4 linked regions of the Caenorhabditis elegans genome follow. The protein of the gene in region 1 purifies or fractionates together with the protein of each later gene. This does not show direct contact. Each region holds a gene or a part of one and is shown in the gene's direction. Other genes may lie near its edges.

The links.
Region 2: the proteins of ndua-13 (region 1) and rpt-1 fractionate together in Caenorhabditis elegans (co-fractionation; one large-scale study listed by BioGRID). This does not show direct contact.
Region 3: the proteins of ndua-13 (region 1) and moma-1 fractionate together in Caenorhabditis elegans (co-fractionation; one large-scale study listed by BioGRID). This does not show direct contact.
Region 4: the proteins of ndua-13 (region 1) and ndua-8 fractionate together in Caenorhabditis elegans (co-fractionation; one large-scale study listed by BioGRID). This does not show direct contact.

What each region holds. Positions count from the first base shown.
Region 1 is NC_003279.8:10,685,173-10,688,616, reverse strand, and holds ndua-13 (NADH dehydrogenase [ubiquinone] 1 alpha subcomplex subunit 13), read left to right. Parts: upstream 1-1,558; 5' UTR 1,559-1,563; coding exon 1,564-1,660; intron 1,661-2,069; coding exon 2,070-2,148; intron 2,149-2,193; coding exon 2,194-2,407; intron 2,408-2,450; coding exon 2,451-2,576; 3' UTR 2,577-2,792; downstream 2,793-3,444. Other genes in the region: tag-272 (Structural protein), read right to left, coding at 225-285; kbp-5 (KNL (kinetochore null) Binding Protein), read right to left, coding at 695-787, 873-967, 1,028-1,247; sdha-2 (Succinate dehydrogenase [ubiquinone] flavoprotein subunit, mitochondrial), read left to right, coding at 3,034-3,092, 3,146-3,324, 3,372-3,444.
Region 2 is NC_003283.11:11,979,912-11,984,354, reverse strand, and holds rpt-1 (26S proteasome regulatory subunit 7), read left to right. Parts: upstream 1-1,957; 5' UTR 1,958-1,960; coding exon 1,961-2,036; intron 2,037-2,082; coding exon 2,083-2,186; intron 2,187-2,231; coding exon 2,232-2,462; intron 2,463-2,509; coding exon 2,510-3,052; intron 3,053-3,265; coding exon 3,266-3,619; 3' UTR 3,620-3,821; downstream 3,822-4,443. Other genes in the region: Mannosyl-oligosaccharide 1,2-alpha-mannosidase mans-2, read left to right, coding at 1-23, 87-521, 571-1,021, 1,069-1,212. UniProt on the Caenorhabditis elegans protein: The 26S proteasome is involved in the ATP-dependent degradation of ubiquitinated proteins. The regulatory (or ATPase) complex confers ATP dependency and substrate specificity to the 26S complex.
Region 3 is NC_003281.10:850,741-854,012, reverse strand, and holds moma-1 (MICOS complex subunit MIC27), read left to right. Parts: upstream 1-1,616; coding exon 1,617-1,883; intron 1,884-2,179; coding exon 2,180-2,468; intron 2,469-2,517; coding exon 2,518-2,567; 3' UTR 2,568-2,682; downstream 2,683-3,272. Other genes in the region: rnp-5 (RRM domain-containing protein), read left to right, coding at 105-187, 235-876, 929-1,073. UniProt on the Caenorhabditis elegans protein: Sustains mitochondrial morphology probably through maintaining cristae morphology. May act as a component of the MICOS complex, a large protein complex of the mitochondria.
Region 4 is NC_003281.10:2,527,237-2,531,105, forward strand, and holds ndua-8 (NADH dehydrogenase [ubiquinone] 1 alpha subcomplex subunit 8), read left to right. Parts: upstream 1-1,826; 5' UTR 1,827-1,839; coding exon 1,840-1,971; intron 1,972-2,017; coding exon 2,018-2,193; intron 2,194-2,302; coding exon 2,303-2,421; intron 2,422-2,992; coding exon 2,993-3,117; 3' UTR 3,118-3,266; downstream 3,267-3,869. Other genes in the region: rbc-2 (WD_REPEATS_REGION domain-containing protein), read right to left, coding at 645-854, 912-1,023, 1,074-1,197, 1,260-1,392; Homeobox protein cut-like ceh-44, read left to right, coding at 3,384-3,434, 3,478-3,588; cone-1 (Protein CASP), read left to right, coding at 3,384-3,434, 3,478-3,588.

The sequences.
Region 1 (3,444 bases):
ACTTCAAGGGAGGACGAATTTAGTGGATTGGTCTTGCCGCGCGTTATGAAAAATATTTTGTGTATGCGCCTTTAAATTTACAGTAGGAAGTTACTCTAGGAAGTTATCGAATTTTTAAGTGCATTTTTTTAATTTACTGGTTTAATCCTGGGAGTAACTAGAGAAAGAAAAACAAAAATAAGAATTCAAGATTTAAAAAAAATTTCGAGACCATAAATACTCACTTCTCAAACTTGCTCTGAAATTTTTAGGAATCCCATCGAATGATCCAGTTTTTGGTAACATTTTTACACGATTGAAAGAGCTCAACGCTTCTCAAAACAGTAGAGTGACCGAAGTAATGGTCAGTGCTCTGAGACTTAAGCTCAATGAGCTCCTCCTCGGACGAAAAGTTTGCTCGAAAAGTGTCCAATGCTGCTGGTCACTTTGCTTTTCGTGTTCGCAAATAAAAAGTCATATCTGCGTCTCTCGATTTTCTTCACTCTTCCCTTATGTTGTACTTTTTCTTCCCAATAACACTTCCGTTTTGGACACAAAAACTATGCATAAGTGAGATGTGGCTTTATAAAACAAAATAACTTGTAGATGTACAAAAGATTAGAGAATCACATCATGAGGAAATATGAGAACAGATCGATTTGAATGGAAATTAATTTAAATTGAGGGATAATTGATAGAGATTCATTTGATGGCTTCAGTCTTCGAATTGACTTATCTTCTTCATGTAGGCACGTAGAGCGTCGGTTTCTTTTTTCATTCTCAAAAGTTGTTCAGATGATTTGTGATTCTAGAATTAAAAATAATAATAGAAACGCTGAATGTTTTCAGATAACAAAAAGCATTTCTCAGCTTCAAAATCTCCCCTATCTCACCGATTTAGTGTGCTGCCCCGGTTGGCACTTCCTCTGGAGCTCATCTCGCTCGGCTTGCATCTGCTCCAACGACTTCAGGTCACTATTTGCACAATCTGAATTTAAATTAATTAATTAATTATTATTATAAAACCAGAAAAGTTCCGAAAACCCACCGAATTCCAGTTCTTCTTTCTCGATTCTCAATTGTGCTATCTTTTTGCGATTCGTCTCGATTTGCTGCTCTTCGATGAGAACTTGAGCGAGTAGACGTTCGACTTGTGCATCTTTTCCTAGCAAACTATTCTCGAGGAATTGCTCAGCGTCTTTGAGAGCTTCGAGTGAGATTGCTTGTGTGTACAGCTCGAGGAGGCCTTCATTATGATTTGGATTCATTTTAGTACTGAAAATAAGTTTGAATTTTGTTTGAAAGCAGATTTTTATATTAAAAAAGCAATTTCAAGAAGAAAACAAGCGATAAATGCAAAATACGTCTTCAAAAAAAAAAGATAAACGCGCCAAAATAATAAATCGCTGTGAAAGTGCGCCGCAGTGTTGCGACGAAGACCACGCCCACATTCCCGTGCCGCACATTTTGCCCGACTTATCAATTTCTATTCTGTTTGCAAGTTTTTTTTTCCTCAACGAAATTATCGATTTTTATAATTTATTCGGTTTTTTATCGAATTTATATTCATTATTTTCAGGTAAAATGGCCACTGGAGCAGAGTTTCGGCAGGATATGCCTCCAAAAGGAGGCTATCGTGCATTCAACTTCCATCGCACTTTTCCGAAGCTTGTCTGGAGTCGTGAGTTGTTTTTTTTTGCTTTAAAATATTACTCGAAATGAAACAACGCAAAACGCCGAAAAAATTGAGAAGAATGCTGTGAAATACAGAATAAATATTTTGAAAAACGATTCTCAAGAAACTTTAAAGAATAAAAAGGCTTAGACGCTATTTATAAAAATAAAGCTGTTTGTCTTGAGCAATAAAATATAAATGACAGAGAACGTTTTTAGCATAATATTTTGGGATCAGTTTGCTATTTTGCTGTAATTTTTGATATTTCACACTATTTTCTATAAATAATATAACGCGAAGAATAAATACATTTTTATCAAATTTATTGTTGAAACAGTATTCTATTTTTAAGTTTCTGTCTATCAAATTTTGATTCAAAACACAAAACTTTCTTAAAATCAATCACAAATTTAAGCTGGAACCGTCGTCGCCGCCATTTTCGGAGCTACTGCCTACGGAGTCTATGCTGCTCTTGAAGGAAAGAAGAAGGACATGTAAGATAACTAGTGAATTTATCTCCAAAAATATCAAGTTTACAGCACTGAAAAGTTCGAAGATGTTGACATCAACAACGCAATGGAGCCGTTCTTGACTGCCGAGCGTGACAGATATTGGCTCAAATTGTTGGCCAAGAATCGTGCTCTGGAAGAGGAAATTATGAAGGATGTTCCAGGATGGAAGACTGGAACCTGGTACGGAGAGCCAGTGTACTTTACTCTCGGAGACAAGTGGTGGGATCCAACTGCTACTGAGGTAAAAAATTTATAACAATTCTGGAGCTTATCATATTTTTTAGGTATTCGTTCACTCAAGGGGATCAAATGAAACCCGTGATCATCTTTGGCGCCAACACTCTGAGTACGCTGGACCGAAATTCTACGATAATTGGTTCCCACAATGGATGTCCAAGTGGTTCTGGTAAATACCATTCATCTGGATGGATTGGCAAACTAATCTTCGAGTTCGTGTCCTGCTCTAGGCCCCTATCAATAAAACATCATTTTCTTTTTTTTTTTGTTTTCATTTTTAGACTGTTAGTTTTCGAAAATGAACGACAGGCCTTTGGTTTTTAAAAGTCGTGTTTGTGTATTGTTTTTCTCTTCTGGAATTTTATGAAATGAAGATGTAAATTTACGATAAAATTTCAAATGAAACGTTTCTTTTCAGAAATTTCATGTAAATAAATAGAGAAAAATGTACCGTAGTTGTTTCAAACTTAAAGGCGCAGGAACAAAAATTGAGCGGTGGGTCTCGCACCGAAAGTGTGAACTACGGTGTATCGTTCGCGCGGCCAACTCATTTTTGGTTTCACCTCAACCGTTATCGGATTTTTATTTGTTTTTCTGAACGTTCTATATTTTTCCTGTATTTTCAGCAAGATGCTTAATGTCGTAAAGTCGATAAACCGTGCGAAAACACCTGTTCGCACTTATATGAAGTGAGATAATTTATTTTCTAACGCCATTTCACTAATTTTATCAATTTTCAAAGAAAACAAGTGAGCGCAACCACCAATTTTGATGTCGTTGATCACACTTTTGACGCGGTTGTTGTGGGAGCAGGAGGAGCCGGTTTGAGAGCTGCGATGGGACTCTCCGAAGGTGGAATGAAAACTGCCGTCATTACGAAGCTTTTCCCCACAAGATCGCACACAGTCGCGGCTCAAGGAGGTGAGCCGCTCAAAGTATACGAACAGAATTTAAATTTTGATTTTTAGGTGTGAACGCCGCTTTGGGAAATATGAATCCAGATAACTGGCGCTGGCACTTCTACGACACTGTAAAAGGGTC
Region 2 (4,443 bases), on another chromosome or scaffold:
TTGACGCAGGAGTCATTTTATATGTAAGTTTCAGTTCTTGATTTTCAGTTCTTGGCCAATTCAGTTCTTGATTTAATTAATTTCAGTGAAAAAGCTAGGGAAGTTGGAGAAGCTTTACTTCCAGCTTTCAATACACCATCTGGAATTCCAAAAAGTAATTTGGATGTAGCATCAAAACATGCAAGTAACTATGGATGGGCTAATGGAGGACAATCAATTCTTTCCGAAATTGGAAGTCTTCATCTTGAATTCCTGTATCTCAGTAGAATTTCCAATGCTCCAATTTTTGAGAAGAAAGTGAAGAAAGTGAGAGATGCTCTTGAAAAAGCTGAAAAACCTAATGGACTCTACTCAAACTACATTAATCCGGATACAGGAAAATTCACAGGAAGTCATATGTCCCTTGGAGCACTTGGTGATTCATTTTATGAATATCTTATCAAGAGTTATGTTCAATCAAATTATACTGATACGCAAGCTAAGAATATGTATTGGGACGTCAGTGATGCTATTCAGAAACAGTGAGTTCTATTGTTCTATTTCTTTTTCCAACAATTTTCATATTTTCAGCATGATTAAAGTTTCCAAACAATCAAATCTTACATACACAGTTGAGTTGAACAATGGTCAAGCTCAACATAAAATGGGACATCTCGCTTGTTTTGTACCTGGAATGTTTGCTCTACAAGCCATCAACGAGGATACTGAAGAAGAGAAATTAAGAATTATGACATTGGCGGAAGAGTTGGCGAAAACCTGCCATGAAAGCTATATTCGTTCCGAGACCCACATTGGACCTGAAATGTTCTACTTCAATGAACGTGACGAAGCAACCAGTAAACACTCGGAAAATGGATATATTCAAAGACCAGAAGTCATTGAAGGATGGTTCTATTTATGGAGATTAACTGGAAAAACAATGTATAGAGATTGGGTATGGGATGCTGTTCAAGCTATTGAGAAGTACTGTAGAGTTGATAGTGGATTTACTGGTCTACAAAATGTTTATAATCCTAAAGCTGTAAGTATCTGAACTTGTGGGCTTTTCTGAATATTTCTGAATTTCAGGGCCGTGAGGACGTGATGCAATCCTTCTTCCTTGCCGAGTTTCTGAAGTATGCCTATTTGACGTTTGCAGACGAATCACTGATTTCACTCGATAAATGGGTATTTAATACCGAAGCTCACCCGGTTCCAGTCTTAACTAATTAGAATTTAATTTTTATTATCTTTTTTTTGAACAACTGTGATTTATGGTTTGATTGTATTTAGAACTCACGAGGTTTTTATTGAAACTTGTTTTTTATCTTCCGAACCAATTCCGCTGTTTTTTGGCTTTTCTTCCCCCCATTTGACCACGGGTTTACCGGTGTCTTGCTTTATAGGTCAACCGTTGTTTTTGTTTTTATAACTGGTTCATATTGATTCTAGCAATTAAGATAAATGTTTTTGACAACTTTTGGACTCATGAGAAAACCAGGAGGATATGTAGTCGCTACAAGTTACAATTTTTCCAGCTTTTTCATTTGATATTAAAGAATAAGTGTATGCTATTTCATATTCTATACTGTACAAAGAATGCTAGTATTCACTATAAAACATTTAGCGCAGGCTGGTTACAAGATTTTGCCAGCAGACGACAAATCTCCACAATGTGAAAAAGTTTTAGTAAACTTTTCAAGAGCGCCCCGAGGACATCTGAAATTCCTTTTCACTAAATTTATATACAAAAAATACATTTTTTCTTGCAGATGAATCATTTCTTTTGTTTCTCAACTTGACATACGAATATTTTTCATAAATTTCATTCTCCCGCGTGAAATGCTAACGCGCTCTATCAGACAGACGACACGCGACGCGTCCGGCGACACTGAAAAATCATCAATTTTCAAAAGAGATTCTCATTTCAAAGCTTTTTCCATATTCATTTCTTCTAAAAATATTTGTTCGTTTGCAGAAAATGCCAGATCACCTTGGAGATGACATGCGCAAAACTAAAAAAGATGATACCAAGGAGGAAGAGAAGAATTTCCAGGGTATGTGGATATCGTTCAGGAAACTAATTCTGAAAATTGAATTTAGCTCTCGACGAAGGAGACATTGCTGTTTTGAAAAGATACGGGCAAGGTCCATACGCGGAACAGCTCAAAACATTGGACGCGGATATTGAAAACTGTCTGAAGAAGGTATTTATTTCATCGTGCTCCTAATTTTATTTCATTGTTCTACAGGTGAACGAACTTTCTGGAGTGAAAGAATCAGACACCGGGTTGGCTCCACCAGCTCTATGGGATATTGCTGCTGATAAACAAGCAATGCAGCAAGAACAGCCTCTCCAAGTTGCCAGATGCACAAAAATTATCACCAGCGACAAGCACGATCCGCGTTACTTGATCAACGTAAAACAGTTCGCTAAGTTTGTTGTAGACCTTGCTGATTCCGTTGCACCTACTGATATTGAGGTTTGAAATTGTAATTAGATTTCACACATAATTGAAAAATGATTCAGGAGGGCATGAGAGTAGGAGTAGACCGTAACAAGTATCAAATTCATCTTCCGTTGCCCGCCAAAATTGATCCAACCGTCACAATGATGCAGGTTGAAGAAAAACCAGATGTAACATATTCGGATGTCGGAGGCTGCAAGGATCAAATTGAAAAGCTTCGAGAAGTTGTCGAGACTCCACTTCTTCATCCCGAGCGTTACGTTAATCTCGGAATCGAGCCACCAAAAGGAGTTTTGCTCTACGGTCCACCAGGAACAGGAAAGACGCTTTGCGCTCGTGCCGTTGCCAATCGAACAGATGCTTGCTTCATTCGTGTTATTGGATCAGAGTTGGTTCAGAAATATGTCGGAGAAGGAGCTCGAATGGTTCGTGAGTTGTTCGAAATGGCTCGTACCAAGAAGGCATGTCTTATCTTCTTTGATGAAATTGATGCTGTTGGAGGTGCTCGTTTTGATGATGGACAAGGAGGTGACAATGAAGTTCAACGTACTATGCTCGAGTTGATTAACCAACTTGACGGATTCGATCCACGTGGAAACATCAAGGTTTGTCTTTAATTCTTTATGGAAATAACCCAAAAAAATCTGTAATATAAATTTATTTATCTCTTGCTTTCTTGAAGGCAGTTTATATCATTAGTTCAGTCCTTTCATCCAAAAAAAAAGACACACATTTTTCGTTTGATAAGTTTCCAAAAAATTAATGCTTACATGTATTGTAAATATGAGTGTTTCATTAAAATAATTTGATATTTTCAGGTGCTTATGGCAACAAACAGACCGGACACTCTCGATCCCGCTCTCATGAGACCTGGTCGATTGGATCGTAAAGTCGAATTCGCTCTTCCAGACCTTGCAGGTCGTGCTCACATTCTCAAGATTCATGCAAAACAAATGAGCGTTGAAAGAGATATTCGTTATGATTTACTTGCTCGTCTGTGCCCAAACAGTACAGGAGCCGAAATTCGCTCAGTCTGCACCGAAGCTGGAATGTTTGCAATTCGTGCTAGAAGAAAGGTGGCAACTGAAAAAGATTTCCTTGAAGCTATCAATAAGGTTGTCAAGGGATATGCCAAATTCAGCGCCACTCCAAGATATCTGACACATAATTAATTGTACCCTATTCGGTTTTCATTCTCTTTCCGGTCCTCGATTAACTTATTTTCGCCCGTCCACCCATTTTTTTTTGTACAGATTCCCCATGTCTCCGATTTTTGTCTTATTTATTACATCCTATCGTCGTGAGATGCACCCAAGTTGGCCCAACACTGTCAGATGTATTCGTTTCGATTTTATGGATAAATGTGATTGGGTTTCTGACTATTAAAACTTGTATACACCAGTTTAAATGAATCTGAAAACGTGCCATAAAACCTTTTCATAAGAAGAGTAGTAATCTAAACGCGATTACGGTGTAATGCCAGAAAAAGTAAGAATAGAAGAAATTGGCAAGCGTATTTTAATGGTACTAATATTGTGCACACTTTACCTAGGAATATATTTTTCATCTCTACAATGTTGACTAGCGCCCTGAATGCTCCAAGGATACTGTTTTCCAACTAAATGTTCAACTGTTCAGTATTTATATTCTGCCTCCTAGAGGCGTTCAAAAATTGCGTATGCCACCCATGTTTCAGGGGACATCGCGGGCAATTGGGAAAAGTTTTCAACCAGCAATAAACGCACCTCGGCAAAGCCTCATTGGTCACGTTATCGCCCCAGCGCAAAGCTAAATTCAGCAGCTCACTCAGCTGATCCTATAAAACACAGCAACCGACAAATCGCGGCTTTCGCGCACAATGGTGCTTTCTGCATTCTGTATTCTTCGGAATGCGGCGCGTGTGCGTTGCGGTCGTCTTTTTCGAATTGCAATCGCTCGCGGTTTATCGGAGTCTCTCTGTTTTCTTGAAACGAATCTCTTCCCTTCGATTAAAACT
Region 3 (3,272 bases), on another chromosome or scaffold:
GCGCTTTAGCCAACATTCTGTCTCTTCTTCTGCTCGAACACCACGCGGTGAAAATTTTCTTACTTAGTTGATGTCTATTCGAGTATATGAAATAATTTTTCAGTATGGTTGAGAAAGAAGAAACCAAAAAGAGGGCTCGCTCGTCTTCAAGCAGCTCGTCCAGTAGCTCTGGATCGTCATCTTCTGGGTATGCTTTACAATTTTCATACAATAGCTTAATAATCGATATTTCAGAAGTAGTTCATCAGGATCTCGCTCCTCCAGCTCATCGTCCAGTGGCCGTTCTCGTTCTCGCTCACCACGTCGTCGTGATACCCGCCCACCAGCTCGTGGAGGACGCTCTCGTTCTCCAATCCGTCGTGGTTCACCGCCAAGAGGAGCACGCGCGGATCGCGATCGCCCAATGCGACCATCACCATCACCACCACGTCGCCGTCGTCCATCCCCATCGCCACCACGTCGTGATCGTCGTGACAGAAGCGGGAGCCGTCAGAGGAGACGCGCTTCTCCGAGGAGAAGCCCAGCAGCAAGATCAGCCAGTCCGGCCAAGCGTGTAGTGATCAAAAATTTGAGCAGAAATGTTCTGAAAACGCACCTCGAGGAGATTTTCTCGATCTACGGAGCCATCAAGAATGTCGATCTTCCACCAGATCGCTTCCATAACCATGTTCATCGTGGATATGGATACGTTGAATATGACAATTTGGAAGACGCCGAAAAGTCGATCAAGCACATGGATGGAGGACAAATCGATGGAATGGCTGTTCACGTCGAAATGACTATCGGACGACAATCTGTCCCATTCCAGCGTAGAAGTTCTCCATTTAGAAGACGCTCGCCGCCACCAAGAGACAGAATGTCACCAATGAGAAGAGGGTAAGTAATCAAGGAAAAGTAGTATATTTTGATAATTTTCATCAAATTCCAGAGGCCGCAGTCCACCACCACATCGCAGACGTTCTCCAATGGGCGGCCGTGGCTCAGGAGCCAACAATATGCCACTTGGAGGGCCCAACAGATTCCGCCGTGCCAGCCGCTCTCGTTCTCCAGCCGGCAGAAGATCGCGTTCTTAAACTTCCATTACTGACGTTCCATTTTAAAACCCCATTCTAAACTGTCCAAATTCTGAACATCCTTTGTTTATTATTCTTCTGTTTTGTTATGCAAAAGATCTCCCCAATTTTCGTTTTTTTAATAAATTATTTTGGGTGTTTTAAGGGTAATTTGGATTGGTTAAAGACATGGTTAATTGCCTGTTAATTATCTATTTTAATTTTAAAACCGTCCTCAGAGGGGTTTAAATGTTAGAAAATATTTAAAAAAAAAACAAGAAAGCCTGGCGCGAAATATATAGTAGCGCAGGCGTCGGTGTCGATTTATGAAAAAGTGGTAATTAAATACAAAGAAAATCAATTTTAAATAATTGTTTAAAGGCGCATCGTGAATAAACACAAACTCCGTAAATCGACACAGAGCCTGCGCTACGAGATATTTTGCGCCACAAATGTAGGAATACTTATTTCTTCATGGTTTTTTAATAATTATAATAAGCTAATCAATTTTAAAATATTTATTCTTGTTTTATTATTTTATTGTTTTACCGCTTGATTTTCCAGATGACACAAGACAAGCCGATTGTGGAGACAATTTCAAACGCCGGTGAACAAGTGACAAATGTTTTTGGACAATTCTGGCAACTTGTCACCTCGAAAAACACGACGAATAATGGAGATTCAAAACCTATTAAGATTGAGCAACTTCCGATTTATGCTGAAGATAATGCTCCACTGAAGCAGAAATTCCTTCCAGAAGAGCCACTTCCTCTTCAAAGAGAATTCGCGACTATTCGTATCGCATGTGAGCAGGAGTATGATCGTGTTGCTGTGAGTTTTACGCGATTTTATGTGGAGAAAAAATTATATTTCGTTTTTAATTGGTTTTTTTTTAAAAGAAGAGTTTGGATTATTTTATTTAGCTAATTTTTTGTATTTAAGTAATTATTTGATATCTGTAGTTTTTTCAAGTGAAAACCGAATGTGTTTCACAAAAGAAAAAAATACATTGAAAATATCCATTTTCGAGAGGAAATTGAAAATTTTTAATATCATTAAATTGAGTAAAAGTAAAAATTAAACTAATTTTGTGAAAAATATATTTTTATCACCGATTTTTGTTTCAGGAACGCTTCAAAGTTGTCGATTGTGCGATGACTCAAACAAAAAAAGCGGCGACCAAATGCAATGCATATCTGACAGAAGAATGGACTGCTCTTCCAAAAGCCGCAGCAATCACCGTTGGTGGAATGGCCGGATTCGTTTTAGGCCTGAAACGTGGCCCGGTCGGACGTCTCCTCACCACTACCATCGGCTTGGCCACGATGGCCGCCTTTTGTTATCCGATAGAGGCTGTTGACGTGGCAAAGACCGGAAGAGCTCATGCTGAACAAACTTGGTATTCCTTCCAAGAATGTAGGCTTGAAATTTCTGAAAATCAGAGAGAAATAAATAAAATTTTCAGCTCCAACTCCATCTGCCATCGTCAAAACTAACTTGAGCCCACCGAAATAATTGGAAAATAATTGTTTGTGTGTAAAAAATATCCACTCGAATGTCTAGCGGTTTCTTTTTTTGTGTGTGCGCCGAACCCAGTGTTCCTGTAGTAGTGAAATAAAAATGCGATTTTTATGCAAAATTTGAAGAAAAAAAAACTGAGAAAAACAGAAAGGGAGGCACTTTTTGGACAAATTAAGAAAATAAATCTTATGTATATAATATATATATAGAACGGGCGAGGGTGGGGAAGGGAGAGAAAGTCACCCGCAAAAATTTAATCTAGGGGATGGTGAGAAGAGAGGCGCGGCACATTTTTTTGTTGATAAAATTGGAAAATTTATATTGGAACACAGAAATATTTTTACTTTTTTTTTAGGAACTTTTCACTTTCAATCAAAATCAAAATAATTTAAATTTCCAATAAAAACTTCGTCTAAACAACGAAAAAAGAAAAATTTTGTAAATTTTCCGAAAGTTTCAAAAAAGGTGCAGCACATCTCTGGTGAGAAGGCGAGAGGGCAGCGGGGGATCAGCATTATGGGTGGGCATTTTAATTTCAAGAAAATTTTGAATTTTCAGTGGGTGTAAATGTATGGCTATAAATGATTTTAATGTGGCTCGTACATATTTTGGCATATAATCACCCCGCCACTTTTTTTTCGATTTGTGTATTATTTCCCCTCATTTTAATATTATCCATTTTAATAAAACGTGATGTCC
Region 4 (3,869 bases), on another chromosome or scaffold:
TAAACTGAAAATTTGAAATTCTCACGGAAATTGTGTTTTTTTTAGTTAAAAATTTTTTTTTAAGCTTCAAAAATTCAATTTTCCACTCGAAAACTGTCCAAAATGACATTTTTTCAATAGATTTATACATTTTTACACCAAAATCAACGTCAAAAGTCGTAAAAATTAATTTTTTTTTTCTTAAAAATAGCTTTAAAATCAGCTTTTTTAATCTAAAGGCTATACAAAAAATCTTCCAAATTAAGTAGAAAATTGGCTTTCTGGAGAAAAAATTCCAAAAACTGTGATTTTTAAGTGAAAAAAATTTGAAAATTTCACGGAAATTGTCGTTTTACAAGTTTGAAAAATCGAAATTATTAATAAAAAACTTTTAAAATCCAAATTTTTGGGCAAAAATTACAATTTTTTGCTCAAAACCACCAAATTTCGTTCAAAAATAAGCTTGAATCAGGGTATCGCGATTTTTTTTTCCATTTCTACATAAAATTGAAGATTTTTTCTAGAAAATTTGTATTTTCACATTAAAACATTTAAAAATGCAATTTTTCCGCGAAAATATGATATTTTTTAATGTTTTTCGGTGATTTTTGGCTGAAAAAAATTAATTTTTTCGCTTTTTAATCGATTTTCCATTAATTCCACACCTTCATCATTCCACTCAGAGTCATTCCAATCAACTGATCCTCCTTTTCCGGATGACTAATAATTGTAAAACAGCTTATCCAATCCGGTTCAACTCTTGAAGAAATTGAGAATACAACTGTCAAATCTTGTGGATCCATTACTTGAATATCACTATAATCTCCAATACAGAAAAGACGAGTTGCTCTCGTGTGACGGGACGATTTATACGTCTGAAATCAAAAAAATTCTCGGTTTTTTCGGCTAAAAATCGATTTTCCAGCGCCTACGTATGGATAAATATATCTGTGAATTGCAATAGAAGATGTTGAATCAATGCACCGTCCATCTTGAATCTCCCAGAGGCATACACGTCCGTCGGCTGAAGCTGAGACAAAACGTCTGGAATTTTTCGGAAATTATCGATTTTTTCCAAATCCTGCGTTACTAACGTATTTGTCGGTGTATTTGTTGTCTGAGAGATTGCTGTAATCTTTTGAGAATGTCCAATCATTAGCTGCTTTGGCATAAGTCCTTCTGCTAGCTTCCAAATAATAATGTGGCCATTTTCAGCGCCTGAAAATTTCGAAATTTCAGATTTTTTGTTTTATTGTTTAGAAAATTCGATGAATATTAACCTGTGATAATTGTTGCGCCATCAGGAAGCACACGAATTGCGCAAATCTTGTTTTCCGGCGGTTTCGGGCCCCAAATGACAACTGGAACGGAGAGCGCCGGCGATTTTGTGCCGGCTGGCGCGACTTCCACCATTTTTCAGCTAGATTTTCAGATTTACAGCAGAAATTTACACAATAATTTCATAATATTTAATCTGAAATGAAATCTGAATTTCTTCAATTAAATAAGCTTTTTTTTTAGAAAACTTTAATCGGAGCAAGAAAAGGGCAAAGTTCGATAGCCCGTAAATCGACATGAGATGCCGCGGGTCTCGCAGGGAAGAGAGCCAACATGGCATGCGCCTTTAAACTTGTGTGGATTTACGGGCAAACAGCCGTTGCGCAAAACAAATTTTATTTTTTATTTTATCATTTAAAATCAAAATAAACTATTTTCAATCGATTTTTTTTTGTTTTTTTTTGTTTAAAAATCAAATTTCAAATTTTTCTCATCGAAAATAATAAATTTCATCACCGAATTCCCTCTCTGTAACAGTTTCCGCTTGGTTTCCAATTTTCCAATTTCAGGGTACATTTTCCGATGAGTATAACCAAGGATACGCATTTTCCAAGTGACGAGGAGCTCACTGTTCCTCAGGAAATCACTTTATCAACTCCATGGCTCAAATCCATCGCTCCCTATATGGCAAAACATTGCGAAAAGGAGGCAAATGTTGGTTTTTCTGCCAAATTTTCGATAAAATTGAGATTTTTTGCAGGAGTTCATGCTTCGACGAAAGGAAGCCGAGGATCCACGTGCCGTTTTGAAGGAGGGAGCCGCGCTGACCGCGTGTGGAGTCAATTTTCTTCAATCTTTGAAGCGTTCCTGCCTTCCACAGACTCAGAAGCTCGCCGAATGTGTTGATCAGAGCAGTGCCAAGCTTTACATGTCAAAGTGAGCTTTCCAAAAATGAAATTTCATCGAAAATAAACCGTTAAAAAATTTTAACGTGATTTTTTTCCGAAAAAAAAAGCGAAAAAGCAGTAGAATATTCAATTTTCAGGTGCCATGACGACCAGAAGGAGCTCGATGCCTGCGTGGAAGCTAATTTGAACTTGACGCGTCCAAAGCTTGGATACTTCAGCAAACTTCATGTCTATGACTCGGCCACCGCGGCTCCAGGTACAGAAATTATAGAATTTACGATAAAATTAATTTAAAAATGCGAAAAAATCAATATTTTAGCTGAATTCTTCCACTGTTTTTCTCTCAATTTTTGTATGAACTTTTCAGAAAAGTTCCCAGAAACTCCTGAAACTTGAAAAATTCTAACGTTTTTGCATATTTTCCTGAAAAAAAAACCACTTTTTTGTTAAATTTTTCGCTTTTTTGACTATTTTAAAGCTTTTTAAAACTAAAAAGTCACGAAATTCACCTTTTTTCAGTCAAAAAAGCCTTGTAAAACTGGTAAAATTTGTATTTTTCGGAATAATTTCAAATTTCGAGCCAAAATATCACTATTTAAACCTTAATTTCAGACATTTTTTAGCGACAAATTCAAATTTCTATCCAAAAAATATTGTATTTTAAGTTAAATTTTGATAGATTTTGCGGAAAAAATCCGAATTTCAAGTCAAAAAAATCAATTTTTTCAGTTTTAGGCATCATTCCCACCTGAATTTCACGAAAATCTCACTAAAAACTCATTTAAAATCCCATTTTTCGCGGCAAATTCAATTTTCCCCAATTTCAGAGGTGAAGCTCCGTGACTACAAGGCAGAAGCAGCTAAAGTGCTCAATGAGCTTCCAGCCGACTATCATCTTCGCAAAGACTACCGTAAATACAACGACTGGCGCTACAATATTACTGAAAGCTAGATTTCTCTGAAAAATTGGCCGTTTTTCTGCAAATACCCTTCGTTTTCCCGTAGAGTTCTCTCCAAATTCTCCTATTTTTTTCTTGTTTTTTCCCGTTTTTTTTTCCAAAAATTTAAATTTTTTCAGCGAATAAAATGTAGATTTTCTTTAATTTTTTTTTTTCACTTTTTCAACCTTTCTGGTTTTAATCCGTGTGCTATTTCTAACAAATTGTGTGATTTTTTGCTGTGATTAAATAATTCGATTAATTTCTTATTTCAGACCTTATGGAAATCGTCTCAAGAGCATGGGAATCTGTAGATTGGGACCGAATTCAAGTTTTTTGGAAAAAAAAATTATTTAAAAAATCTGAAATTTCAGACAAGAGTGGAGGCTGAAGTGACAGCACTTGGACAACGACAAGATGACAGTGAAATTCGTAAAACACGATTGGTTGAGGAGAGTAATGCATATAGAGGCAGAACTAATAAGGTAAAGAATTGGAGAAAAATTGGCCTGAAATCCGGTGAAAATCGAATCAAAATATGGGAAAATTGCCGAAAATCCAGCAAAAATAGAGAGAAATTATGGAAAAAATGGCTGAAAATCCGGCAAAAATGGAAAGAAATTATGGAAAAAAAATTGGCTAAAATCCAGAGAAAATCCGGATAAATTGGCTGAAAATTCGGCAAAAATGCTGAGAATTTATGGAAAAATTAGCTAAAAATCTCAGCGAAAATTACTCGAAATTTTAGGAAAAAAAATGATTGAAA